4 linked regions of the Lepisosteus oculatus genome follow. The protein of the gene in region 1 interacts with the protein of each later gene in a pairwise test. Links are inferred from orthologs where the notes say so. Each region holds a gene or a part of one and is shown on either strand. Other genes may lie near its edges.

What was found.
Region 2: the proteins of exosc8 (region 1) and slain1a interact in binary tests that used the Homo sapiens proteins (3 or more experiments, as listed by UniProt). The link is inferred for Lepisosteus oculatus from reciprocal best matches to the Homo sapiens genes EXOSC8 and SLAIN1.
Region 3: the proteins of exosc8 (region 1) and dusp23b interact in binary tests that used the Homo sapiens proteins (3 or more experiments, as listed by UniProt). The two-hybrid records come from large-scale screens. The link is inferred for Lepisosteus oculatus from reciprocal best matches to the Homo sapiens genes EXOSC8 and DUSP23.
Region 4: the proteins of exosc8 (region 1) and poldip3 interact in a two-hybrid assay, tested with the Homo sapiens proteins (2 studies listed by BioGRID). The link is inferred for Lepisosteus oculatus from reciprocal best matches to the Homo sapiens genes EXOSC8 and POLDIP3.

The regions. Positions count from the first base shown.
Region 1 is NC_090700.1:15,732,025-15,738,975, forward strand, and holds the start of exosc8 (exosome complex component RRP43), read left to right. Parts: upstream 1-3,937; 5' UTR 3,938-3,986; coding exon 3,987-4,003; intron 4,004-4,520; coding exon 4,521-4,557; intron 4,558-4,989; coding exon 4,990-5,053; intron 5,054-5,310; coding exon 5,311-5,384; intron 5,385-5,895; coding exon 5,896-5,941; intron 5,942-6,059; coding exon 6,060-6,165; intron 6,166-6,600; coding exon 6,601-6,646; intron 6,647-6,800; coding exon 6,801-6,897; intron 6,898-6,951. Other genes in the region: alg5 (dolichyl-phosphate beta-glucosyltransferase), read right to left, coding at 1-26, 963-1,134, 3,321-3,386. UniProt on the Homo sapiens protein: Non-catalytic component of the RNA exosome complex which has 3'->5' exoribonuclease activity and participates in a multitude of cellular RNA processing and degradation events.
Region 2 is NC_090710.1:17,006,372-17,014,341, reverse strand, and holds the start of slain1a (SLAIN motif-containing protein 1a), read left to right. Parts: upstream 1-4,963; 5' UTR 4,964-5,581; coding exon 5,582-6,060; intron 6,061-7,970. Other genes in the region: scel (sciellin), read left to right, coding at 35-97, 324-386, 1,228-1,299, 1,390-1,498, 2,329-2,431, 3,630-3,646. UniProt on the Homo sapiens protein: Microtubule plus-end tracking protein that might be involved in the regulation of cytoplasmic microtubule dynamics, microtubule organization and microtubule elongation.
Region 3 is NC_090697.1:25,229,741-25,236,879, reverse strand, and holds the start of dusp23b (dual specificity protein phosphatase 23), read left to right. Parts: upstream 1-4,132; 5' UTR 4,133-4,362; intron 4,363-5,845; 5' UTR 5,846-5,857; coding exon 5,858-6,127; intron 6,128-6,696; coding exon 6,697-6,882; 3' UTR 6,883-7,023; coding exon of another isoform or gene 7,024-7,045; 3' UTR 7,046-7,139. Other genes in the region: tdrd15 (tudor domain-containing protein 15), read left to right, coding at 1-492, 1,230-1,300. UniProt on the Homo sapiens protein: Protein phosphatase that mediates dephosphorylation of proteins phosphorylated on Tyr and Ser/Thr residues. In vitro, it can dephosphorylate p44-ERK1 (MAPK3) but not p54 SAPK-beta (MAPK10) in vitro. Able to enhance activation of JNK and p38 (MAPK14).
Region 4 is NC_090707.1:39,126,558-39,133,682, forward strand, and holds the start of poldip3 (polymerase delta-interacting protein 3), read left to right. Parts: upstream 1-4,113; 5' UTR 4,114-4,159; coding exon 4,160-4,224; intron 4,225-5,816; coding exon 5,817-5,980; intron 5,981-6,449; coding exon 6,450-6,781; intron 6,782-7,054; coding exon 7,055-7,125. UniProt on the Homo sapiens protein: Is involved in regulation of translation. Is preferentially associated with CBC-bound spliced mRNA-protein complexes during the pioneer round of mRNA translation. Contributes to enhanced translational efficiency of spliced over nonspliced mRNAs.

The sequences.
Region 1 (6,951 bases):
CAAAGCCTCATTCATCATCAAAGGCACTGAAAGGAGAGTGTGACAACACAGTCACTTGTTTTTCAACAGTACGGTTCTGTATAACCGAGAATGCGATAGCTGTGCATCTGACAAACTTTGTAAAAAAAAAACATTTTAAAATTATTTTTTTGTAACAGGTAAGGCAGGTAAAAAGCACTGTGAAACTCCATTTTCTAGCTGTTTCTTGTAATTCAGGGTTGCTGGGGAGCCAGAGCCTATCCCGGCAAGAAACAGGCACAAGGCAGGGTACATCCTGGAATGGATGCCAGTCCCTCGCAGGGCAGACATATACAAACACAGACACTACAAAATTACACCAGAGCCACATTTCCCAGAATTCAATTAACAAACCGGTATGTTTTTGGACTGTGGGAAATAACTGGAGGACATGGCTGAAACCCAAGTGAACATGGAGAGAACCTACAAAACTCCACACAAATAGCACCCCAGGTCTGGAACTGGATCCAGGACCCAATGCTGTGAGGCAGCAAGGTTAACCACTGTGCCAACATGTCACCTGCACTGGTAAAATTATTAATGCAATGCTGTCAAGCTTCTAAATGAATTACATCAAAATTTTTGGCATTGCTTTAAAACAAAGCAGGGTTACTTCATTGCTTCTCAGACTTATTCTGCTGTAAGGAATGTGGAGGGTGAAAATGAAGTTATTTTATATCTCAAACTACAGTGGCTGAGATACAATATATGAAATTTAACAGTGTAAGATGGTTACAGCTCTTTAAAATCTGGCAGACTTAATACTTAATTCTAAATTAAAACAGCTCAGTATCATTTAATTGACTAGAACTGCACCTTTTTCCAAACCATAGATTCAACATGTTTGCATCATTACAAAAGAAAGACAGCAATTAATCTTTAAACCTGGACAAACTACAGACACTGAAGTCTGTGCTGAAGCGTTCTTGAGGAAGAAAACTTACATCTCTGCTCTTCATTGTATGAGGGCACTATCACTGAGAGGTCTTTGGAATGGGGGTCGTGGAGACTTGGAAAAGCTTCTTTTTTCCCTTCATTAGTCAGGAAAGTTTTTTCCTTCTCGTGACGTTTCAGGTCAACAATTTTAGACGCACTAAAATGTGCTACTAATAACACCTGCAGAGGAGGAAGGAACAGTCATTCACCCACTCGTCAACCTTCCCAGTAATGTACAGTAAGAGTTACAAGGGTCATCCCATGACCGTGAAATGCACACAAATGAATACTAACAACACAGGAGAATCCTGTACGTGAAGGGTACATTGTGGGTGGAAACTTATTCTAATAATAATAATAATAAGGGACAAGTAATAGGTTTATTCCGTGCTGAAAAAAAGAAGAAAGAGAACACAACGTTTCGGCAGTGGAGCCTTCTTCAGGTGGCGGTAGAGGAACACACACACACCACACCTGAAGAAGGCTCCACGGCCAAAACGTTGTGTTCTCTTTCTTCTTTTTTTCAGCATGGAATAAACCTATTACTTGTTTCTTTGCAGCCTACGCATTTTGACGCAGCTACCCACCTGAACTACATAATAATAATAATAATAATAATAGTATCACTTTATTAACCCTTTACAATTTCTTGCATTAGGAATTGTCTGTTTGCATACCCCAGCTTGCTCTCCATGAGACACACAGACAGGGAGAGAGCCTGGGGTCAGAGCGCAGGGTCTGCCATTGTAAAGCACCCCTGGAGCAGTTGGGGTTAAGGGCCTTGCTCAGGGGCCCAATGGAGTAGGATTCCTCTGCCGGCTGTGGGATTTGAACCGGCAGCCATCCAGCCACAGGCACAGATCCTTAGCCACAGAGCCACCGCTCCGCCAGATACTACTCACTCAAATTTTCACTTTATTAATTATCTCAAACAACAACTTAAACCAAACACTAGAGAGACTCTAGCGTGGGAAAAGCTATCAATAGTGTCACCAACTCGGTATGCAGTGGAAATAAAGAAAAATCGCTTCCCACTTGTCGTGCGATGTCAATTAAAATAAGTAAATTACAGTTGTAACCTTGGTTTTCCCAAGTAAAGCAAAGCAAAAGTAAAGCAAGATCTCATTTTGAAACTTGCAACTACTGTACTTTGAGGGGGACAAGATGTTCTTATCCCGGCATTATTGAAAATTTGCAACAGCGCTGTTTTGCCTCTAAAAGGCCTTGATCAAGAAAACAAAACAAAGCCCTTGTTTGTTTCAATATTCGAAAAAGTGCTTAATAAATGTGCAACTCATGAAAGTGCACATACCAGTATAATCTGATTGTACATAAAGGGAGGGGTGCCCAACTGAAATGTGAGTTTTGTTATAGCAAGCCCCAAGTAAAAATATTCCATGGCATTTAAATTTAACAACCATTCTACAAAGCAGACTGGAAAGCTTTTGTTTCCCAGCATGTAGCAGAGAGGTGGGCAGTCCTACTCCCAGTGGCTTGGTGTGTCTGCAGGTTCTCTTTCTGATTTCAGCCTAAATCAGCTGAATTTAACAGCTCCTCCCAGATTTTCTTATGTTGGTCCTTCATTGAGATCTAGAAAACTTGCAATTACACAGGTACCCCAGAAATTCCCAATTTAGGGTACAACAATGCCCTGGTACTTGGGATCCCTGAAGAAAATACTGGTGATCAGGAGATTATAAAAAGCGTACTGTGCAATGACATTAGAGCACCTATATTAACATTTAGCCTGTAAAGAACACATTTATCTCACTGCTTTGCATCCAGAGTTACATGAAGTTAAAAAAAACCCATTTACATTAGCGCTAAAACCATGTTAAGTATAAAGCTGCTTGCTCATAGTTTGCAATTGTCCCTGGCACCTCTGTGAGACCAGGAACTGTTGAATGAATGAATCACAAGCAGGTAATTGTGTCACGGATGGCGTTTTATTTTCAGATCCAAGAGTAACACAAATAAGTCCAAATATTCCAAATACGTTAAGGGGAAAGAATACAGAATTAGCCTAAATGTTTTAACAGTTTTAATATTATTCCTTGGAGAAAGATGTGGACAACAATACTTAGACACAACCATTTTAAAACCAATAAAATGTAGTTACTGGTACTGTATAGTTCTTGTAAGTTAAATGCCACTAATGTGCAAGGAGATCAGAAACAGTGGACTGGTTTCAAATTTACTCAAGAATAGTGTGTCTTCGAGGTAACACATCAGCATACAAGTGCTGTAAATAAAAATATAATTTACCGTAAACGTAAATCGCGATAATTCATACGCATTTGTACTGCCCATGATAACATCGACTTAAAATGATATACATGTACATATCAATATCCATGCATACTTACCAAAATTAAACAAATCAGGGCTACAGCAGCAAAAGCTAGAACGATTTCACATAAACAGCAATCCATTTTCCATTCCAGGGCCTACAGAAAGACATGAACCGTATTCCCCCAAAACTAAAAATGCTAGTACATCGAACCAATCAACTATTTTTTTCCCGCAATACCATTTTTTTTACACGTAGCTACAACTGCCCTCACTGACATACACTGACGCGGAAGTGTTTCCCACTTCCCAAGTGTTAAGCACACATCATCATAATCCAAGAGGGCATCGAATACACATGGGTAAGGTAAATACGACTGCGGCCTCTACCGGTTTGGAGCTGGCTCTCATGCTAATACATTTTAAAATTCAAAACGTAAATATCGATCTGTCTCGAACATACTAACATTATACAATTATGAGTACTATAAATTGCAAAACATCAAGATGCGTCCCCCCCCCCCCACATATCACATTTACCTCATTCATCACGCGAATGATATTTTCCTCTTTTCACGTTACGTGCAGCTAATTAAAAAAGGCTTCGTTTTTTTAACCCGTATAAAGTAAAATAAAGCAAAAATATAGAAATTCAAAGTACATAAAACGCGAATCTGTTGCGAGCTAATCTTTGGTATATTCACCCCGCCCACCCGTTTCACGTGGTGCACCACGGAAGCAGCATGGCGGCAGGTTACAAGTAGGTGAATTTAAATTCCCCCATCGTATGAAAAGTTAATTTCAACCACTCAGTGGAGATGAGGAATACCATTGGATTGTTTTCAGGCACCGAACATCGTGATTTCTGATAAGATCGCTGTATTTCCACTGCTGAAACCGGGACTGTAGATAATTTACGTTTGGAACGTTATACGCATATATCGTATTAATTCATAACTAATCCGCGTTGTGAAATTATTTAACCAATTGATAAGTACAGGGAGTCGCTCCATTCGTGTCTTTAACAGGAGTTTTCCATTTATGAACCATTCATTTAATGTGGTCATTCGTAGTGTTCCAAATTCAAATGAACAGCCTGTCTATAATGTAGCATTACTGTATGTTGCTTTAATGCAAGATCGAGCCGCACACGTATGGTACATCGTTTTTACTTTCCCGGCAGATTATTTTTGCGTTGTGAAGTCTTGACAGAAGGGAAAATGTAAGAGAAAATGAGATTTGCTTCTCTTTAAAATGTAACTTCTTTCCTCTTTCAGAACTGCAGACCCTCTGGAGTACCACAGAAGCTTTTTGGTATGTTTTGGTTGTCTAACTGTATTTCGTAGTCTCAACACACAATTTACTACGTGTAGATGTAAGTTACTGTCAGGAGTAAATTGCTTCCTGTATAGGTTCATTCATACCATGACAGTAATGCCAATTTTTTAAAGCCATTATTGAAATACAGAAGTAATGATCAACGCGAATGACAATACATTGTGTACTGGTGAGACCGGAGATCTTCCGGTAAATTAATGCATTCATTTTTAAATGGTCTTAAAAGGGTTCCATGTTTTGAAGGATCACTTTGATAATTAAACATTAGCTTGAGAGACTTGCACTGGAAGTGTAATGATTGCTCACAACTGAGTTAAGCGTCAGGGTTAAGATGAAGAGTTGTCAAATGAAACAGTTTTTCTAGAAGTTCTGCGAATTTAAGTGATTTGGATTGTTCGACCCCATTAGAAAGAGAACTGCAGGCCTGACGGACGAGAGCTTGGTGAATTCCGAACCACCACATTGAACATCGGTGAGCATTCACAGTTCTTGATATACTGTAAGGCTCTGTGCCATTGAAGTTAAACGGCAAATAGTATACAGTCTCTTTGCTTTAAATTAGCATCTCTATTCAGTAACTTCTCAAACACACCAAGGTGTAAAAAAGATTTGAATCCTCTACTCATGCTGATGAGGCATTGTACCAGAATGGTCACTGACTTTAGTTTCATTACTGCTCTAAAGAAGTTGTTTTGTAGATGACTAATGTATCTTAATGCGCTTCGTTAGGTTCTGTTTCAACGGCTGATGGCTCTGCCTTAGTGAAGATAGGGAATACCACCATCATCTGTGGTATTAAAGCGGTAAGGCCAGCCACACTTCTATTACTGTACACCTGTGAGAACAATAACACAGCTGTCCATTAGTGTCCACCAAAATCTCTGTTGTTGCATGTTAGTGTTAAATACAAGTAGAGTGTTATTCTATAATATTCTTAGAGGTACACTGGTTTCCACTATTTTAAACAATGTTCATCAAGCTGACTATTCACTGATTAAAGATCCCTTGACACTTTTTGAAAAAGTATGGGGATTAACCCCAGGTGCACTGTCTAAATTCCCCTCTGGATTTGGCCTTTTTAATAGTTCCTGTTAATGTGATGGGTGAAGTGGTTAATCACTTTTCCCCTTGATCTGCTGTATTGTCAGGCCGCTGGTGCATACTGACTGCCAAGTCACCCAGGCAAGTATTTTAGTAAAGGGAATATTAATTATAGACTATTTCTCTTGGTGTGACAGAGGGATTGGAAAAGGAGAATTTGTAAGTAGGATCCATTTCACCCTGATTTTTGTCCCCACCCCTTTTCTGTTGCAGGAACTTACAGCTCCACCAGTAGATGCACCAAATAAAGGTTACATAGGTAGGGCATATATCAAGAAAATAATTTCTTATGGTGTATGGACATAGAATAACCTTCCTTCTGCAGGTGATGTGGCACAAGTAAATCTTACAGCACGCTTGTTTCGTGTTTGTTTCAGTTCCCAATGTCGATCTGCCGCCCCTCTGTTCCTCTCGGTTTCGCCCTGGTCCTCCAGGAGAACAAGCCCAGGCAGCCAGTCAGTTTATCGCAGATGTCATTGAAAGGTATTCAGCCCCAGAGCAGCATTTATACCAAAGTTACCCCGTCCTTGTTCGGCATAGCAGCAGTCCAGTAGGTTTTCTGGATCACTTTTGAATGAAGAATGTATAATGCCATGGGAAAATGTCCCACTTACCCAGACCACTTGGTTAAATGTGAGTAATTTAGACCCTTAAGAATAAAGAAAACTGAAAGTCAGTCCACAGTTTTATATTTGCTTTAAGTAATCAGAAATAGTTAATTAAGGCTGATCTTTGCCTCTGTAGGATTAGGATGGACCACACCTGATCTATAGAAATCAGCTTGAAGACACAGTCTCTTAAGACTTTTCCAGTTGTCTTGCACTGTTGAACTACTCAAAACTAAACTATTCTCCGTTTCTCAAGTTCTGTTGTCTGATCACACTTTATCTATATAAACATATTTTGGTTTCTTTATAGTTCACAGGTAATACGACGAGAAGACATTTGTATTGAGAAAGGAAAGGTGGGTTTTCTCTTGATCTCCAGCTATTAACAATGTTTTAAAAGTAATTACTTAAGACTTCTTCACACTTTTTTAAACCTCAGCTTATATTTATTATAATTTGCAGTGTATATATTTTTTTCTGTAATGTAATTTGCAGCTTTCTGTATTTTAGCTCTGCTGGGTCCTGTACTGTGACATTATGTGTCTTGACTACGATGGCAATATTCTGGATGCCTGTATTATAGCCCTGATAGCAGCTCTTAAAAATGGTATGTATAACAGTTATTTTAATGAAAAACTTAAGCAGTTTAAATAAGCAGTTA
Region 2 (7,970 bases), on another chromosome or scaffold:
TGCCATGGTTATTTCTTCCACTGTGTTCATCCAGCTATGACTACACTGATGCGGTACGCCAACCCAGGAGCTACTCTAGTCAGCTGAGTGATTCCAGGTAACACTTTTTGAAAATAGAAATACTTTTTGAAATGTTGTGGGACACAGTAAAAATCATCACATTTTTAACTCAGTATAACATTTATCACACTGACCTCCCTGCTTTGTGTGAAACTCAACAGACGACCTGATGTTGACCTATCCTAAGACATAGCATGTAATGCTTATGAAACTGTGATGCAGTTTGTGATATATTTAGCAAACCGTAGCTCTTTTCTTTTCAGTTACAAGACCAGCAGTGAATCCAGCCCAACGGTCTATACCAAAACATCATATGTTCAAAGCAGGTATTATTTTAATTGGATTTTTAAATCGATTCTAACTGTCATTTGCTATGTCCGACCCATCAGCTCATCAGACCAGAGCTTCTCCTGTTTTCCTTGGTGTTCAGTGGATAAGAGAGAACATGAATCCTCTCCCCTTAATAGGACACTGGTCTATGGCAGGGATGACCACCCCAGCCATGCTGGTCCCCATGTACAGTACACAGTGGGGTGGACAAGGGTACTGTAGTGTAGATCTGTAGCAGGGAGTCAAACCCACAACCTACCAGCTGTGAGATCAGAGACTTACCCACTATTGTCAACTCCTGACAGTTATAAAAGACTCATAAATTTGACTGATTGCATGATTGATTGGTTGAAATTTCAGCTATCAAAATGTGTTGGATAATGTGTCATTTAGATTGCATTTATGTCATGCAGCTCTTCATCATACATTTATTCAATGTTTTGAGATATATTTTAATGTTATAAAATAAATTAGGGTGGGCGGTTAATAATGCAATACATGTTTAGGTTAATTTAAAGCAGCGGTCATGTCATTTGTATGTTTTGTACAGATAATGATGTAGATGTCCAGAAGATTATCAGAAGCTCTAATAATTAGTTTGAAAGACAAGTGATCCATGAAAATGAATAATTAATGTTAAATTATTTAATTTAATGGACACATAATATTTTAAAATCATACAAGATTAATAAGCCACTTTTTAAAGTTACCATATTATTTAATGCGATCACTGATGCACGATAAGTAAAGATTCACATGGATCCTGTGTTCAACGAATGCTGTAGTTTGCAGCTTGCCAGTAAATACAGTATGTACCTACTGTATTTGTTTCAACAGCAGGCCGGAAGACTTCCATGATGACATGCTCTCATCAAAATCAATCAAGACAGTTTATTCTACTTCCGACAGGTTTGACTGATTTCTGTTTAACAATGCGATGAAAATACCAGTGATTTCAACTGACTTCAACTACATAATACGCCTGGGATTTCTTTATAGGAGCATCATTGACAGAGACATGTGCACCTACTGCCGGAAGCCCATTAACACTGAAGCAAAGATGATCCTGGATGATTTGCAGATATGCTGTCACGCTTCCTGCTTCAAGGTCAGGAAGAGGCGTAATGTACCTGTTCTTGGTTTCTGTTAATGTAGAGCTAGTTAAGGACTTAGAGCAGAAATGTCTAAAGATGATTTTTATATAGCATCGTGATATACTGTATGAGCTATTCATAAATATGGTACATATATACTGTATGAATCCTGGTAATATATCTTGTGAAACGAAAAGAAGATTAAAGGTTATTTCTCAGAGGTTCACATTTTTCAACATCTTTGAAGGCCTCTGCCTGTTTTCTGATGGTATTTTCACATATCCAATGGATCTACCAGTGCAGTGTCTCAGTGTTCAGATACATCATGTAGAAGAAACATTTTGCTGGCACGAGCCAAAAAAACAAGTGGAAAATAATAAGGACCATCTCATGACAGCTATTTATAAAAGGAAAAAGAAAAACGTTAAATTCCTGAAATTACCCAAATTTCTATAAACACTTAATTTAAAACTGCAGTAGGGAAAGGTCAAACCAAGGTCCCAGTCTAACATGAACATAAGGGTTGGCTGCTGTGAATAAAAAATAGCACCTGCATCCTCTTTTAAAGTATTTCAGTACTTTACCTACCAAACTGCTGAAAATGTCCTGTTTTAAGATAACAAAGAATATGCATGCTCCTGAATTTGGTGGTAACAGTTCTTACAAACGGTGACATTGGGTCTCAAAAGCAATACACACAGGTTGATGCTTTCGATGGTGAATACTGTACCGGCTTGGAAGATTTTAACGTTTTTTAGAGAAAAAAAAATCAAATAGATCTCTATAGTAGAGTATCATATTCCAAACTTCAAGGTTTAATTCCGTACTTTTCACTTTCTTCTAGTGTGAAGTCTGCAACAGCTCACTGGGGCACTTGAAGGCGGGAGACAGCATGTGGATTTACAGACGCACTGTGCACTGTGAGAGCTGCTTTGGAATGACTAGAGGTAATCCCCAACATCTACAGCATGAGTGAATGCAGGTTGCACTGGGAGAGCATTAGGGCTGTTATCACTCAGGTTTTGGGAATCAAGTAACTTTGTAGTAGCGGCTACTGTGTGGCAGATCACTTTTGTGCTGAACTGGCTATGTAACTTTTTCAGAATTACTTCTGCTGCAGCAGTGACTGAACATTTTTAACCCAGTGTCCTCTGTGTCTCTGCATGTTTAGTAATTAAAAAAAAGACAGAGGATTACAAATCCTCTGTTAAATCTTTTAAATCAGTTTCTGGTTTATTAGTTGTGTAAGCCCAAACCCTGTGATTTTTTTTACCCTGGTTCCTTGAATTGGACTCTCACGGTTTTAGGTGTCCAACATGTCTAACTATACACAGTCCTCTATATCGGTGGTTCTTACCTTTCACTGCAACCTGCACTCTTTTGGTTCCCAAAATCTGCTCTCACACACCTTATCAAAAGTCATGGAGGTACTTTGTGTTTTTGATCATTTACTGCATCTCTTTAAGAATCTGGCATGTGTTGCACACCCAGAAAGATGATCTCAGACCTGGGGGTCCCAGATAAAGAACAGTGCTCTATAATACTGTACTAGTATTGAAAATTAGGCAATACATCTTGAATCCCTAACATGATTGCACCATTAGAATGATTTCAAACGTCATTTTAGAAACAATGATAATTGCTTGCCTGGCTTTAAGTCAAAATGCTGTGGTGGCCAACAAAATAACGAAGGTTGAGATTTATCCCCATCATCAGTTGCAGTACTACAGCACATGAGACTTAAAGGCATCTGTTCTTCTGAGTGAGTGTAAGGTCTAATCATTAAGGAAGGGGGTTTCTTTCATCTGCGTTACTGAAAGATGCCAGGTGACAGTTATAGCAGGTATACAGCTAACATAATATTAATGCTGCTCATATCCTTGTTTCTTTTTTACTCGAAAGGAAATCACTTGCAAGAATTCATAAACATCTAGTAACCTATCACTGTTTTACATCTTAGCACCTTTATAATGTCTGATTTCATATTTTAAAGTGATAAATGTTTTGTAGATTGGTATATCTGTGGTTGTATAGCTGTAAAGAATATGCAGTACTGTCCATAGTGACAGTAGCCTCTTTGTATTGGTGAAGTGGCAGTGCTCTAATGCCATTGATGCATAGTTAGTGTTGTTTGTTTTTTTTTAGAAAAGTGGCGTCGCTGAACAAGATGTAAAAGAAGATGCAAAATGACAAGATATCCTGAAGCCACAAAATGTCTGCAAATATTAAATATCTAAAATTATAAATCAAATATTTGTAAGTTGGTCCACAACCTTTAAAATTGTACAAAATAACCCCACAATGTGTGTATCTTGAAAAGGAATTCCTTGGTGTTTTGAATCATGTACTGTAATGTACCTAAGCATTTCTCTTAGCCTTCAGAGCTCATTAGGGTTGGGTTTTTTTTGGTTTCATTTTAGAATGTTTATTTTTTTAATTCTGGAAAAATGGTTTCCCCTAACGAGTTCTGAAGCCAAGAAGAAATTAAAATTATATTCATACATTTCTAACTGTCTCCTAATTATGGGTTGTGGGTCCATTTTTCCCTATAACCATGTTACAGTAAATGATAACAAATACCTACTAAGACATCTTTGAATCATTAAGAGATTTGTACTTTAATATAAATGGGGCAAGACAGATGATAGGTGGAAGGGAACTATTAACCTTTGTGTTTACTGATTTTAGATGGCTATCCCTCACATTTAATGCACTTTGATTACTTACTCTTAAAAAGCATATCCAATTGGTAACATATTAATAGTATGGTTTATCTTTTAAGTCAAATAGAAGCTAAAGCCTTTCTGAAACAACTGACTAAAAAGTCAATAAAGAACTTTGTGGAAAAACTCTCAAATTATTGTATTAATTCTGTAATGTGAATATATTAATATTGGTTAATGTTGGTGGTTGAAAAGACAGAAAGGGGGAGGATTGATTTGAAGTTTATATCAATCCATGTCAGTCCAAATGTTTTAGTTTGATATGGAAATGAGTCAATAACATTTGCACCGTGATCAAATGACTAATTCAAATTACTCAACCCTAGAATGCGTCCATCATTGCCCATTAGCTTTCGAGGATTTGAGTCTATTCAGCTACTAGGTATCAGCTGCAGCCCAAATAAAACGAGGCAGAATGCCGCACCAGATCTATAAAAAACCCAGCTCGTGTAGAGCGAAAATGTTAAATACCCTGACGCTTATCTAGCGTCAGTACCATTGTGGAGTACCTCACCTCACAACACTACTTATGTAATTACTAAAAAAAAAAAGCGTATGTTGTTTTTTTTACACATTTGCCGTATTATCAACAAGGAGTATGATTAACATTTCCGTAGACCCCTGGGTCAACTGGGCACACTGCCGTTGTGTGGAAACTTCAAACCGACGTAGACCAGTTTCTTACAATACACGAGGATTATCCCTGAGACGACCTAGATACCGGCTGAGATCTATAATTGAGACGTCGGACAAAACCATTTAAGGCTATTTATACTCATCTGACGCCAAGAAAGCTTTAACAGTGAAGACAGCCTGAGGAGCAGACGTTTATCCTCGCTAGCTCCATAAGCAGAAGTGCACAAGACTGCATCACAGGTGCACTAACTTCAGATTGTAGCTTTCGTGGGGAGAAAAGTTTTCCAGCTATAAATAACCTCCTTCATATACAGTAGGTATGTAGGTTACAAAAACGCAACAGCATGTGACGATACAGGAGTGGACTCTCATTTAAAACACACACACACACAGCAGTGTAATGAACTGAGTCTAGAACACTATTACATTTGGTTACAGATTTGCACTGGCCGCACCTGAACCCTATTTGAGCCTGTGCAGGTCCGCTGGATTCATCATTCCGAAGCCGGTCTTGGCATTGTGGGAGGAGACAGCGTCTTTATTTTTCGCTGGGGGTGGCTGGCGTAGCATCTTAATGCAACAGTAGAATGGGAGCACTGCTCAATTGGTTCAGCGTAATGCACAAATCTCAGTGAAGGCAAGGGAAAAAAGCAGGGAGACGCAACCCCGGTCCACCATTTTTTTACAGGAGTGATTTATATATAGCTACATAATACTTATGTGTATTTTTTTAATTCAATGGAAGCCGCTGTGCTAAAACCCCAAATGATGGCGGACGTTAATTGCAAGAATAAAGCTGTAAATGCGGAGCTGGAGGTGAAAAAGCTGCAGGAACTGGTACGAAAACTGGAGATGCAAAATGAGCAGCTAAGGACCAGGGCAAACGCCGTAAGTAGTTGTACTGTCAGCCCGCATATCCTGCAGTCTTCCCCGGCCTGTCTGCTCGGGAGCCCTGTGGGAGCTGGGGGAGTCGTCAGCCCGGTATTTACGGGGAGTTACTGTATTCCGAGCCCGGTACCGACGCTCCTGTGTCCGTCAGCAATCGGTTCTTACTGCCCTTCGGAGGAACAGTACTTGTATTTCAACCCGCATTCTCCAGCTGCTGCTGTGGCACAGGACGATTGCAACAACAGCACAGAGCCCACAATTCTGGATGAGGTGGAAGTACTGGACCTCGATGCCGTATTCTGCAGCGATGAGGAGAATGATTACACCTGGTACTGTAGATTTAAATTACTCCCATGTTGGCGCTCGGTTGACGTTTTGTTCGTTACCACTGTTTTTTGGACTGACTGGTCATTGATCTGTTGCACAAGCCCCTTTCAAAAATATCCGTACAACCTCAATGCAGCCCACTGGGTTTAGTATAAATGTAATGAAATATTATTTATAGGCGCAAAAGATGCATTTTGTGGTGAAAGCTTATTGGAATTGAGGGAGTTAAACATTTTCTAGGTTTCAAATGTATCATACTATATTTGAATGAACAACATTTGACAACTGCAGAAGGCCTTCAAGGTACACACTTGGTACTATGCGGTGGCGAATTGATTTAGAAAAAGGAAGAATGTTACAATGATCCTTTTTGACTTTTGTATGATGTGACATCTTGATTGGGGCGTGCAGTCATTTTCTAAAACGCTTATGAAATGGGTTTCCCATTTTACTGAAATGCTAAGTATTCATCTTCGTTAATTTCTGTAGTTCTGGTATTTCTGTTTGAGTTCTTTTTTCCCCCAACCTTAAAGTTGAAAGGACTATGCTGGTGCCAGACATCCCGTTGCAGTAATGCTTTGTAAGCTGTAGCTGAATGTATCCAGTGTTCTGGAACATTTAGCACAGTTTTTACAGCAGCAGCAGCGCTAGGAATATGTCTTATTGTAAGAGAACTCAGTGGCATCCTAGTCTTAAAGCAATACTTCTGGTTGGTTTCTTTAAAGTTCTCAAGAGTTAGGCCTAGATTGTATTGACTTGCTTGATGTTTATTTTCATTTGATCTCCTGAAATCTGTGTCCTCTGCTTTGTTACATTCCCCATGATTAACTGAAATAATTCATAGAACTGTTACTACTTTGGCTTCTGCAATAATTCTGCTCATCTAGCCTGTTTGATAGTAGCCAAATCGTTCAAGGATGTCATCCAGCTGTTTCTTGAGAGAAGCCAGGTTATCCAATTCAACAACATAGCTGGGTAGGTTGTCCTATACTCCTACCATCTTTTACCAGAGACAGTGCCTTCCATTCTTGGTTTTAAATGCACTTCTGTGTAGTTCCACTGCTGTGTCCTCTAGTTTAGATTTCACTGCATTTCTGAACATCCCCTATGCTGACTGTTACAGTCCTTGAAGATTTTGAATACTTTTATCAAGTCCCATAGCGGTCTTCACTGTTCAGGACTGAAAAGGTTTGGCTGTTTTAACTAGCTGATGTAGGACATTACTCAAAGTCCCACAAAGCACCTGGTCATTTTGTACTGGTTCCTTTAGAGCAGGTACAGTAAGGAAATAGGCCAGGACATGCTGAAGTTTCACCCAGACCTTTGTTTACACTTACTTTGCCTCCACACTTGAGCTTTGCGGAAGCTTTGTTTGCTTAACTGAACATCTTATCCAGGGAAAAACAGATTAAATGAAAACTTACTGTAAATGCAAGCAACTTTCATGCACGTACAAGATAAGTAAAATAACTGCATGAGATGGAAGCACAATGTATGTGCTGCACTAAGAAAAATAGAATTAAAGCTGTATGAAGATGGATAGGATATCAAACAGTGATTCAGCCAGCCTGATAGTACACCCTTTGAATGACTACATGAAATGACAGCAATTAATTTGAGCAGACATCACCTCAGCCTTACAGCACTCCATCTTGACTTTCAAGAGGAAACCTTCTTCAGGAGTTATTCCATGAGCTGTTGTTTTAATAATAATAATAATAATAATAATAATTGCTTACACTTATATAGCGCTTTTTTGGACACTCCACTCAAAGCGCTTTACAGGTAATGGGGACTCCCTTCCACCACCACCAATGTGCAGCCCCACCTGGATGATGCGATGGTTGCCATAGTGCGCCAGAACGCTCACCACACATCAGCTATTAGTGGGGAGGAGACCAGAGTAATGAAG
Region 3 (7,139 bases), on another chromosome or scaffold:
AGGTGACATATCCCTGTATTCTTAGAGGGGTTAATCCTGCTGGTGTGGAACACTGGACAGATGAAGCTGCAGTATTCTTCCAGGCATGCATGTCTGCGAGAAATCTTGTGATTTATTTTAGACAGTGTGTGTTTGAAAATCTGTGGGAAGTAGATATCCTGTCAAATGGTGTGAATATAGCTAAGGAATTGGTTGAAGCTGGACATGCCGCTTACATTGACTGTATCCTTGGACTCAGATTGCAGCAGGAGATATGTCCTGAGTCTGCTTTGGATGCTTCACCAAAGACATCTAGCTTAATATGTGGAAGCGTCAGGCACTCACTTTCGCTTACACAAAAGAAAAGCAACAATGTATACCCCAAACTAGAGAGCTACGGCAGAGCTGATGACTCCGAGCAGCCTAGAATTCAACTTCAGCCAAGACGCTTTCAAGATCCGCAGTCAAGAGAGAGGGAGAAGCTCACCGAAGTGATGCCATTGTCCAAGCAGGGTAAGTGTTTTACATATGACTTCGGTATATTTAAACAGTGTGTTAAGGTTTGGGAATTAGCAATATAGATGCTATGAATCGTATATATCGGTGCATTGATTCCTAAGTCAGTTTTGTCCCGGTTTCAGTGGGGGAAAAGCAAATTGTTGTGACAACTCATTATCTTTGTTTCTTAAACATTTAAGAATTTACTTCACTCATCCTTTGTTAAATGAGCACTTTACTTACGAGTAGTTACTAAAATGAGAGATGCATAGGTCTATATTTTTTTAGTTAACTTCCTAAGCTGTTTAGCTCATCTTCCATTTTTAATTTTCTCCTCTGAGCTGTTGATGTCTTAACTATACTAAATTCACAATATTGATATCACCAGGTAGCTTGTTGCCTGTACTTTTACAGTAATGGGTTTTATTATTTGGTTGCACTACATTTTATTAATATGACAATTTTTGTATAGTGAGAAATCGGTTAGTTTATCATTTATTGTTCATGTGTACTATAGAATGATGCCATTTTTTAATTCTTTCAATAACTGCTGCATAATGTATTTAAACATAACAGCTTGCATAAAAAAGAAGTGATGGTAAATTGTTATTAATTTGGCTGACACTATAATTTAAAGTTACTTTGTATGTTGGTGTCAATTGATATGACCACAATATCATAGTACATAGTATCTAGATTTCTAGTTTAAGTAAATAATATTAAATAGTATATTTCTATGCCTTTTTTTGCAGCTGAAGTGATGTGGATTCTAGGATGCAGAAATGAAGATCTGGGAGATTATTACAAGACAATCGGCTACTAAAAGTTTCATTTCTAACCTCACTAGTTTGGGTTGGCAGTGTAAATGAATTGCTGAACGTTTGCTCAATATTTATGACATGTTTGTGATTTTAGGAATTGCCTAAAGTTTTTGTTTTAAGGTGTGTACTTTGACAATGAAAACCTGCATTCGTCTTATTCTGATGTGTGATATGGTCAAGGCATAGATACTTTGTCCACTACTGTGGAAACTTCTTTAGATAGTAGAACAGACAACTATTTCTTACAAATGTATTTGTATAAGTTGTATCATTTTATATAGTTGATGTCCAAGCTTTGTAATTATTTCATCACAGATTAAATGTAATGGTGATTTCTTTCCACTTAAGTATTTTACATGGGGAAAAATGCATATATTTTGCCTTAAAATCATCCCTTATTTGCCAAAAACACTGGAAATGTGTCCAAAAAATGTTTTCTGATGGTGGGAAATACCCACTTCCTTAATCTCATAATTTAATGACATCTTGAAATGGCAGGTTGTGTTCAGACGTTTCCTCCTGCTCTATTCACAATGTGCTTTAAATAAGAATAGATTAAGTAGGACTTCTACAGTGCAAAGTGTAGACTAAAAGTGTAAAGATTGAGTACTAATTATTATTTTCAATTTTCAGTATTTCAGATCTTGGTTTGCATCTTAATATACTCAAAAATCATATGTAGTCTTCATCTCCAGCTATGAAGGTTTCAGTCTTTCATAGATTTTATAGATTATATTTATGATTTCCTTTTAGATAAGTGTTGCCATATTGTTCTAGTTCTTGTACTGAAAAATGTACTTGGTAATGTTTTGGTTTTGTGCCAAGAATCTTTGATGTGCATTATGAGCTTTGAATGAAAATTTCAATCAAAAAGTTGAATACAAGTTATTTTGATTTTTGAATTATAGAATATTCTCTTGGTTGATTTAATTAATACTGTGCCTTTGACTTGTTACAGCTGTAAAACCTTTTTCAAAACTATGTGGTCTGAGTGTGACTATTGATCTTTATGTGACATTTACTGGTCTTCATTACAGACATGAATTTTTTAGAATTATACTATAAACTTTGAAACATTTAAATCAAGGTATATATTAAGCAATGCATGTACCTTTTATCCAATAAAATATGTTAATGTAGGAATAACATACACTCTTCAACGCCCTGAATTGCTGAATTTATATTATTTTTAATTGGTCACAGATGTGGATCACATTTGCTTTTTTGTTCTTTCACCTCCCTGCCCTCCCCATCGTGAACTAACATTTTCTAGTAATTATTTGTCAAACCTTGAATAGACCACATACCTCAGTACTGGGATGTGTACTTCATTAATGCGTGAATAAGTAAATAACTTGAACTAATTATAGATGCATCTGTTATGAGGAATATCCTTATAGTGGTGTGTAAGCAAGGTGTAATGTTATGTTAACCAGTTTAAAGTTCCTGCTCTTAGTTACTTAGTTCACAGTTGGTGTGTTCACTAGGACTGGGTTAGAAGTTAGGGGTGATTCAGCTCCAGTCCTTAACTGGATAGGCTGTATGCTGGTAATGCAGAACATTTCAGTTGTGTCTGTGACTGTTTTTGTTTATACCGTGCATAAATGTTTTGTTTAACACCTCATTTGAATAAAAATAAATTTAACTGGCTGTTTTAGCCTTTCATTATAATTAGTTTTGATCTGGGTCCTAAAACTCTTTCTATATGTTTGTATATACAGTATGGGAACTTTACTGTGCAGAATCAGTTTGACCTTGTTCTTTTTGTTGGGTTAAAAAAAATGCTTTTAACTCTACTTATGGAAGTTGAGTTGTTGCTTAGATTTACTGTTTTTTGGAATTCTTCAAACCCTAATAAATATGTACATTAATGATTTAATGATTTCTCTTTGTTTAAAAAATCAAACAAAACATCTAACCTTGTCTGGAGACTGAATTCACACAGGTGAATGAGACCCAAGAATTTCTTTTAAAACATAGATGTAATTCTGATCACGAACAAACCATAACACAATATTTAAAGAGATATGAATATGCATTTTCCAAACATCCCTTCAAAGGTTTCCAGTACCTTTCTATGCCATTCTAAATGGCATACTTCTTACAGATTTCTTGAGTTGGACATTACGTTTAGAAAAATCTCTGGATAATAAAGTTTCAAAGAAGTGACTCTTTGCAATGTTCGCTTACTTCCTGAAATGTAATGTTATATGTATTTTGGGAATGTATAACTAAGAAACATTTTTAAGTTTTTTTTTTTCCTGCTACAGGACTGAATGCTCTATATGGGTCATGTGAGTTGCTATTGCATAGTATTTTCTGATAGTTACATACATTCTTATATACAAATTTAGGGAGATGTTTTGTGGTATAGGGGCAGGGGATCATTTTAATATACAAACTGTTATGTTATTTGTGCTGCATGATGTTTTGCAGAGGATGTCATAAAGAAATAAAAATTACACCAGTTGGATGAGAAATGTTGAATGAAATTGCCATGGTAATATTCTTAGGAGTAATGAGTCTCCTATCTTAGATTGTTCATAAGTGTGTATTAATAGAGTTATTTTTATATAATTCTAGAATGGAATATTTTGAATGCACTAGAAAAAAATATTTATTGTATATGTAATTAAGTGTTTTTATTGTTGCATGGCGATAAAAGAAGCTTGTCAGAAGTGGGATTCGAACCCACGCCTCCAGGGGAGACTGCGACCTGAACGCAGCGCCTTAGACCGCTCGGCCATCCTGACGTTGAGCGAACAGTGCTCAGTGTCCCTCTGCACACTATCTTTTTTCACGTTTAGTTTCATTCGTGCACCAACGAAAAAGGTGACAATTAATCTGTGAATGATCCGCGAGCTTTTGTTTTTTAAAAGGATGTAAAAACCGGAGCCGTGTTCTCTCTGTGTGTGTGTGGAGGACGCAGCCATTGGTGGAGATGCTGGTCCCTGATAGGTCTTCCTGAGCGTCACTCGGGCGAACACGTTCCGGGGTTCTGCCGGGTCCTCATAGGAGATTGAAGTCCAGCTTCGTATGAGCCTTTCTTCTCCGCGGTGTAGAGGTTTGTTGAATGGCGTTTTTCGTATTTTGTGCTTTTCTATTTAAATTAGCTGACTACATTCTACAGAAACTTAAAGCTCTTGTTTTCGATACAATTCAGTATATTTATGGCGGTGTCTCTAAAGCAATGCACCAATAAAACTCAGGAAAACTAACTTCTGCTTCGGGTCATGTCTGTGTTTTGCTCAAGATGTTTCAGTCATATTAAAATCTCACTAGGCTGTATCGCTTGTATATGATCACGGAAACGACCGCCAAAGCGAAACAAAATTTAAAAAGAGCGTTTTCGGTGTGTAAATGTTTTTATGATCTCTGAGTTTAAAATGTCGTTCGAATTGTGAACGGATTTTATATATTGAATTAAAAACTCGTAACAGCAGCACGAGCAACACTACGCTAGACGTTCTTAACATTGTTGATGTATAATTAAATTAGCACTTTCTAGTAAAAGTACTAATTCAGCATCTCTTCCATGATATTGGGTATTAAGGAACAAGTAGTTCATATAATGCACGTTGGTGGTAGTTATGTTTGGTGCGGGATTACTTAAAGTGGTGGTCGTTAAATATTTAAGCTGAAGCATATTTGAAGTTAGATTCGAGGTATAACATTTCCAAATACAGGCGTAAAGTAGCTGGCTAGTTCGTTGAAAATAGCGAGTCGGCAAACATCTGATCAAATTGATTCAAATAGTACTGTGCCGGTTTGCTGTAAGAAAAAAAACTGCCGAAATTTTGGTTAAGAACTTGGCTGGATTTGAATGTCAGCTTTTCCTCGCCCGCCCCTCTCTGAACAGCTGAAGGAAGTCACATGGCATGGGGGTCTTTAGACAGATCCAGAAGTTGCCATCTGCTCATTGTAAGGGGATTCTCTAATTTAAGACTGAAGGTGCAAAATAAATAGAAATGAAAAACAAAGCTTTCGGGAAGCAACGGATTTTTATTGTAACTAATAAATTAGACCAGTATCCAATTTGAGAAAAGTACATATTTTATTGATATTATTTTATGTATAGTACAAGAAAGACCCCTGTTAACTCTATGTAAAGCTAACAGTACAGTTTCACTCAATTCTTGGAAGCAGCAAGTATACTGGAGCAAAACATCACAGAACATGATCATGAAAAAAGCCTTGTAAAAATATTTTGAATTTTTGGGGGTTCTGGGTGTGTTCTTGACTGTCTAGCTTCATAATGGGTGAGTCATAACTAGGGATTAAACTGAAGAGTGCTTCATTGTGCAAGAATAATGTTTTCCAAAAAGCAGTCTCTTGGAAAAGTCTGTGTAGATGATAAAGACGTTATACGACAGTGTAACTGGAAATTTCTGATCTTAGTCAATATGATACTGGTTCCTCTATAGAATCTGTTTTTTTGTTGTTTCTACACAATTGTACAATGAAGCATTAGAACATTCTCTTCTGTTGAATTGGAGACATGAATGTATGAGACAGGAAAATCATGGTTGCTGCTGTTGATTTTTCAGGCTGCTGTAGTCATGGCTTCTCTAACTCCACCTAACTTTTCCTGGGTTGAGCCAAAGAAGCTGGCTGGGATGGCCCTACCGCGGATGCCTGCCCACTATCAGTTCCTGCTGGACAACGGCATAAAGCACCTGGTGACTCTGTGTGAAAGAAAGCCTCCTTATCATGATTCATGCCCGGGACTGACGCTGCACCACATAAAAATAGATGACTTCTGTCCACCCAGTATGGATCAGATCAAGAGGTTCCTTGCTATTGTTGAAGAGGCCAACGCCAAGGGTGAAGTATGTACCCAGAGATATGGCATACATTTTTTTATGGGCCCATATAAGAGCAGATAAAATGTTTCAACAAATACCACAATGTGAAACATGGTGTTTCCTGACAAGTTATTTTACCTTTGTACAAGCTGTAAGTGGAATTAAGTTATCATACACGGAGAAAGCACATTTAGAATACCTTCAAAGCACAAATTGGTTCCTGATTGTGTTACGATTCTTGTCACACCATCGTGTCTGTAAGCTACTGCACTGCTGAATGAGCTAGATGGGTCTAATGGCCTTCTCTTGTATGCAGCCTTTGTAGTCACTATATAAACTATATGTATTTATTTTTTAGAGAAGAGGTGTTAATTTGACATTTGGCAATAATTGTAAGCAAAACAATGTACTAATTTGTCTGTTAAACATGTGCAGTAAGCACCAAAGCTTAAGCTAAAAAGTTTTAGAACCATGGTTTCCCTGTTAGCAAAATGCTGAGTTCATAATAAACGAATTAGGCATTTTCTCCACAGGGTAATTCACTAATTCATTTAGTGTTACACAATTTGTAAATGGTATCTTACTTTTTTAAGGGTGTGGCTGTCCATTGCCTTCTCGGACATGGGAGAACAGGAACAATGCTGGCCTGCTACCTGGTGAAGAAGAGGAAAATCACTGGGGTTGACGCGATTGCAGAAATAAGAAGCATTCGTCGAGGATCAATAGAAACGTATGAACAAGAAAAGGCTGTTGTCCAGTTTCATCACCACATAAAGTAAAATTAAGACAGCTGCAGCTGAAAATGTTTATATTAACTTCATGCGCTGTACATACTATATGAATGATTGGAAAAGAGTTTTATTTAAGAGTTTATTTTGGAAGTTACTAATTATGTTTTTTTTTCTACATAACCCCTGAAGTCTTGCAAGCAAGATGTTTTAAGTGCCAGATACGAGGTGAGATAGAACTAAAAAATTGGTGTCATCCTGAAAGCTGCAGAAACACTGAAAGGTTTTACAACTCGGACACAACCTGC
Region 4 (7,125 bases), on another chromosome or scaffold:
CACTCACACACCAGAGCCAGTTAACCCAGTGTGGGACGCAACCGGAGCACCTGGAGAACAGCCATGGGGACACGTGGGGGGACCATACAGACTCCACACAGGCACCACCCCAGGAACTGAACCCAGGGCCCCAGTGCTGCTAAACAGCAAAGCTGACCCCTGCGCCATCGTGCCGCCTGTATGGAGTACAGTCTAGAATTATAGAGTAAAGTGGAGTAAAGTGGAATTTAGCAGAGTTGTTGTGTATAGTAAGATGCAGTTTAGTGCAATGTGTATAATACAGTCCTGCGCATTATAGTACAGTAATGTTGAAACATTCAACAATCTCTCAAGCACGTGATATTGTTTAATTAAAATACTATTTCCTGAGTGGTTCGTTCATGTTTTTGACGTGCTTATTTATGTAAGCACTCAAACTGGGCTGACCTTTTCTATCCCACATATTTTGAAGCGCAAATCTCACAACAGCAGACTCTGGATTTGTGGTAATTAGCGAGGTTGAGGCTAATTGGTGACCCCTGTTGCCCCCAGACCCAAATCGTCGTGAAATCCCCACTGTGGAATATTTCAGTGTCCCAGAGAACAAAGGACCCTCAGTCCTGCAGCCACAATCCGCGGCCAGTCGCTGTGGTTTAGATCAGCCTCCCGCCACACAGACTGAGGCACTAACACCCTCTGAGGCACGTAACACCCTCTGAGGCACGTAACACACTGCACACACACTGCACATAGTCAGCACAGACAGTACTGTACACACACACTGCACACAGACAGCACAGACAGTACTGTACACACACTGCACACACACAGACAGTACTGTACACACTGCACACACACAGACAGCACAGACAGTACTGCACACATACCGCACACAGACAGACAGTACTCAGACAGAGAGGTACCAGGATAGCAGGCAGGCAGATCTACAGAAGAAAACCAACAGACCAACAGGTACAGACAGGGTCCAGGGAGCTGAACCTGGCAGAAGTACCAGACTGCGTGAGACTGATGCAGAAAATCGAACGTCTGCTGTGAGCACATGGACAGGCAGTTCCAGACCTGGGTCTTACTATTACTACTACTATTATTATTGTTCTTAGTGTTATTATCTGTGTCCTTAGCTCCTTGTGGCAGCAGTCCCAGGTACTCTGGTGTGTGAGAGCCCAGTTCCCCAGCTGGGGGGGGTCACCGGCAGATTAGCGATTAACTGGTCTTGTGAAAAGTTAATTCTCTTGTAGAGTTAAACTGGGCATTACTGACTTAAACCACTTATCAGGCAGGCGCAATTAATGGAGAGAGAGGAGAAGAGGGACTGAGGGGCACAGAGAGAGGAGAAGAGGGATTGAGGGGCACAGAGAGAGAGGAGGAGAGGGATTGAGGCACAGAGAGAGAGGAGGAGAGGGACTGAGGCACAGAGAGAGAGGGGAGAGGGACTGAGGCACAGAGAGAGAGGAGGAGAGGGATTGAGGCACAGAGAGAGAGGGGAGAGGAATTGAGGCAGAGAGAGAGAGGGGAGAGGGACTGGGGCACAGAGAGAGAGGAGGAGAGGGATTGAGGCACAGAGAGAGAGGAGGAGAGGGATTGAGGCACAGAGAGAGAGGGGAGAGGGATTGAGGCACAGAGAGCACTACAGCCCCGGTCACCCCTGAGAACCAGTGAGCAGAGCTCCCAGCACCACAAGACCCTGCTGAGCCAGAGCTGAGCCCAGAGAAGAGCCCTCAGCCAGCTGGTCCTGAAGCTCACTGACAGCAACACCCACCACACACACAGCACAACACAACACACACAGCACTGCGTCCCCCACTGGGACACACACACACTGGAATGTCTCAGGATCCTAAACAGAAAATAAACACCAGCTGAATATTTTCAATTCAATTCAATTCAATTCAAGGTGCTTTATTAGCATGAATATCTGACCAGGGTGAGAGTCAAGGAGAAACAGACCCCGCTGAAGTCCAGAGGAGGAGGATGTCCACGGTCCCGTGGGGCTGTAATGCCTCTATCCGCCCAGGCGAGGGAGCTCCCCGCCCCTGGTCAGCCGGGCGCTGCGGGGGCGGGGGCGGGGTCGGGGTCGGTCTTTCCGAACCGGACAACAATCACCGCGCTTTCAGCACCGATACCCGACCCGCTCCTCGGCGTCAGCCGCCGGCCTGCTCCGAAAGCGATCGTCAACTTACTAAACCTGTTCCCCCCCAGCCGAGCTCAAGAAAGGCAGCGGGTCGAACTCGCTCGCAAAACCGTTTCAGTGACACTGCCGACGTCTTCATCGGCCCGATCGACTGGACACACCGCCGCTACGATACCAGCGAGCAATAACAGAGCGAAATCGATATTTAGTCGCTCTTTAATTCGGACTTCCTTTCTGTTTTTGGTTGACAGTGATGGGGGTCGGGGCAGATCACGTCGCCGCCGGCATCCCGCAAAGTAGGCAGGTCACCTGGCAGCTCCGACCTGTACCCGTTCAAAAATTGCTCTCGCTTGTCGTGGCGAGGACTCGGGCGTCACCCCGGGTCGTTATTTTCCTTACTCATTAGTTTAAGGCATGCCGGGTACAGGGCGAGGAGAGGGAGCCGGCCCGGGCGCCGAGCTGCCCCGGTCAGGGTGGGAGTGAAGGAGCCGCGCTCGCCTCTCCGATATGACGCTGAGGCTAAAGGTGGAAGTCAGGATTGTGCGCTGATGTGGTGAAAGGGGATTAGAGTCTATACGCGTCTTACAACAGGTCAAAAATGTACAAAAACGACTATCCTCGCTGTTATGCAAATTTACGGTCTAGCCGCGGAGGTCTATGGGAGAAGTTGAAGGCGTTTCCCCCCGGCGTGCATGATGGTAGTTGGAGTTCTTTTTTTCCTTTTCCCAGCGGCATTACAGGAACAGATCTATGGACTCGGTCGTTAGGACTGATCTTCTTATGTGACTTAACACTGCAACAGATGAGGACGCCCGACGTTTATGAGAGCAGTCAAGCGCATTGATAAAGCAGTTCTGTGCTGTCAGAAAACACGGGTGAGAGTCGAGTCGACGAGCTCGGAACAGTGGTGAAAGGGTAAAATGTTTGTAGATGTTATACTGATTACACATGCTTTGGCAACACTGTAATTACCAGTCATGCCAATAAAGCTGTTTGAATTTGAAGACTTGAGTATTATTGGCTTTAAAATCAGTTCAAATATAAACAGCATTAAAATTATTTTACCACAAGCAGTCACTTCAGGCTGTGAATTCACATCAGTCAATGTCATTAATATATAATTATAATTCTTCTGCACACCAAACTCATAGCGCTGTACAGGTAATGGGGATCCCCTCCACCACCACCAGTGTGTACCCCACCTGGATGATGCTCCAGTCTGCTCACACACACCAGCTCTCAGTGGGGAGGAGAGTGATGAAGCCAGTTCAGAGAGGGGGGTTATTAGGAGGCAATGATTGGTAAGGGCCAGGGGGTAATTTGGCCAGGACACCAGGGTTACACCCCTACTCTTTTCGAGAGACACCCTGGGATTTTTAATGACCACAGAGAGTCAGGACCTCGATTTTACGTCTCATCTGAAGGACGGCGCCTGTTTACAGTCTAGTGTCCCCGTCACTATACTGGGGCATTAGGACCCACATGGACCGCAGGGTGAGCGCCCCCTGCTGGTCCCACTAACACCTCTTCCAGCAGCAGCCTCAGCTCTCCCAGGAGTCTCCCCTCCAGGTTCTGGCCAGGCTCACACCTGCAGATATGGCTGCTGGCAATAATAATTAATATAGGAAACAGAGCTGTGTTAATTAACCCCAGACTAAACTCCACTCAGAGCTGATCAACCTCCCCCTTAATCCACCTGATGAAGCAGTTTCTCTCTCCTCGCTGAGCTGTGTGCGCTGGGGGGTGAGGAGGTGTCTCTGAGCTGTGTGCGCTGCGGGGTGAGGAGGTGTCTCTGATCTGTGTGCAGTGGGGGGTGAGGTGTGTGAGGATCAAAGTGACTGTTTTTAACACCCATTAGGTCTGTCTGTGTTAAATATGTTGAAGTTTAACCCCAATGGCATTCAGGGATGTGGGGGTGCTGAACGCTTCGGCTCTCTCTCCGGCACTGTCCGTCCCTCCGCGGCCGCCGTAGCGCCTGGGTCCTCGCGCTGACTTCCCCCCGCCCCGCCCCCCCCTCACAGTGACAAGATGGCGGACCTCTCCCTGGACGAGCTGATACGGCTGCGAGGTCTGAACGGCAAAGGAAACGCCAGGTGAGTCCGAGCCGTGCGACGGGAAAGAGCCGCGTTTGTTGACGGGGCTCTGAGAGGGAGCCGAGAATTTGTGTTTGTTGCTGTTTTGTTTTTCTGGATATTTTCGCTTTGTTGCAAACCGTCGCGTCTCCTGTTTAACACCTCACTGGTGGGGTCCCGCCTCCCCGCTCGCGGCTGATTGGCTGGACCGCCTTGGGTTCTGTTCCCTCATTGGCTCTTCCGGCCGGGCCAGCGCCTTGATTGGCCGAGCTCGCCGTCCATCTTCTCCTTCGAGAATCGCGTCGACCAAATTCGCTTTATTAAAACAGCCCAAAACAATGAAAGTTAACCGGCTGAGCACGTCTGCTCGGTGGCAGAACAAAGAGAGGGGTACGGGGGGCTGTAGGAAGGGATAAGGGCCGATTAGCGGCGCGGGCAGAGCTGTGAATCTCTCACATGGGGATTTTATGTCCTTGTGAGACGCACATACGTGGAAATGTCCCGAACTCCACTCCCGGATGGAGAGGCGTGATCCGCTCACGGGAGGTGCCGTGGTTTCGCCTGCCGATGGTGTGTAGCGCAGGGGGGGCAGAGGTGGGGCCGAGCCAGCGGAGGGGAAAAGGACAGAGTTTGAAAGCCGGAGGAAGACCCTGTAAAGGCCGCCTGCTGCGGCAGTATGGCCGTACGCAGACGCCTCTGGTCGCCATGGTGCGGCGGCCTGCGAGACGGATGTCGGGCAGGGGTCTCCGGATCTGAGCCTCTTCCTGTCGGGACCTCAGGACTCAGTTCACGACTTCAGAGCTGTGAAAGCAGCGAGCTGCAAGCTGAGACTGGAACTACCCCCCACCAAGGCACGCTGTGCACAAAGAGTGGGGGGTGACTGGAGCACATTGGCCCGCCTGTGCTGTGGGGGCCGATCCAGGGGAAGGTTCAGGGATCAGTGAGCTCCCAGCAGCCTTGCAGATCCCAGGCAGCTCCCACCATGACAGCCCGGGCCGCCAGGCGTCAGAACAGCTTCTGCCCCAGAGCCGTGCGCCTCACGGTCCGCTCACTGTGCACAACACGCCTCTGCACTCTGCGCTGCTGTCTCGGGCGGCCATGTGCTTCTGTTCCCTGCCACATGGTTAGTCAACAAAAAACATGATATTTATGATGTCCCATTTTGCAATGTACCATTTACCTAAATCTCCCCCTGGCCTTTACCGGTCACGGCCTCCTAATAATCCCTGTCTGCGAACTGGCTCCATCCCTCTGCTCTCCTCCCCACTGAGAGCTGGGGTGTGGGGAGCGGACTGGCGCATCATCCAGGTGGGGGTGGAGGGGATCCCCACGACCTGTACAGCGCTGTGAGTGGAGTGCCCAGAAAAGCACTTGATAAGTGTAAGGAATTTTATTATCACTCTAATAATATTATTACCACCTCCCTGCTAGTGGCCTGCTGTCCCGAGAGATCAGTGCGATTGAGAGTCCCAGTGGACACGTACACACGTGCTGCGCTCGAGGGGTTTCGGTCTTCCAGAAGCCGTGGGTGTGCAGGCGTGTGTCCGGCGCTGTAGCTCAGTGTGGACAGGCAGGACAGCGCTGACCTGTGTCTCTTGCTCTCTCCCTCTCAGACCGGTGGCGCGCGGGGGGGTGCGCTCCCGGATCGGCCCCCCGGTCTCCGCCTCCGCCTCCGTGCCCCCCCTGCTGTCCCGGGGGGCCGCGGGAGCCGGGGCGGGGGTCTTCGACGCCAGGCAGAAGATCGGGGTGACGGACGCCCGCCAGAGGCTGGGAGGAGGTGAGGCAGTCGGGGCTCGAACCCGGGTTCTCCGAGCGCAGGGGAGGGGCCCCGTTGGCTGGTCCTGGCCGCGCTGACCGGCACCCGCAGTCCTGTCGGGGCGCACACAGCGCTCCTGTCTTGGGGTCTCGCCGAGCTCCTCGTCTCGGGGGAACGGTCTTGGACTGTAGCTGCTGAGGCGCCTTTAAAACTCCTCACTCCCAGCGGCTTACAAGAAAACAGTTCAAACCAGTTAACAAAGACAGGAGACTGGCACAGCTGGTGATACACTTGAGCGTATATAATACCTTTAGAAGTAGCTTCGCAAAATCACTTCAGATGGAAAGTAAAAGAACAGTCAAAGCACACAGTGACGCAGAGCTGGCACGATGCACCGAGGGACGGGCCACAGGCACCGACCCCATAACAGCAAGGCCGGTGTGGGAGGAGGAGTTTTGAGTCTGGGCTTTTCTCCGTGTCTGTCTCCCAGCCTCGGGAACGTTCCCCCTGAAAGACGCCCGCGAGAAGCTCACGCAGAAGGACGCGCGGCTCCGGATCCGGGGCGCGGTGCAGGACGCCAGGGAGATGATAAACTCGCGGAAGCAGCAGCAGCAGCACGGCCAGCCGGCCGCCGTCAGGACGGCGCAGATCCCCCCGCACCAGCAAGGGTTAAACTCCCGGGTGGGCGGGGCCCCGGCGGTGGGCGGGGTCAAGAAGGTGGTGGACGCCCGCGATAGGCTGAGCCTCAAGCGGAGCATTGCCGTGGCCACGCCCACCGTGGGGGCGGCCATGCCCACCGTGAAGATCACCAAGACGATACAGGTAGGTTATTGCCTGCGCTGGCCGTGTCCGGTGTCCGGCAGCTCTCACAGGTCACCGCAGGCCACCCACCCACTGGCACTGCTGACCACAGACGGACCGCTCCGCGGGCCTTGAACTGGGTGATTTATCAGTGGCCAGTAGATCCTGCGGGACTGGGGCTCGGTCCCCCTGTTGGGAGCGCCGAGGCGTCCCAGAGCTCCCAGACCCGTCTGGGGAGGTCACCCTGGCCTGACACTGCCCTGCACTCTGACCCCTCTCCCTCTCCTCTGGCAGCAGAGGCCCGTGGGACTGACCAGCGGCGTCCGGATCAACATGGCGACGCGATCGGTGCCGGGACCGCAGGT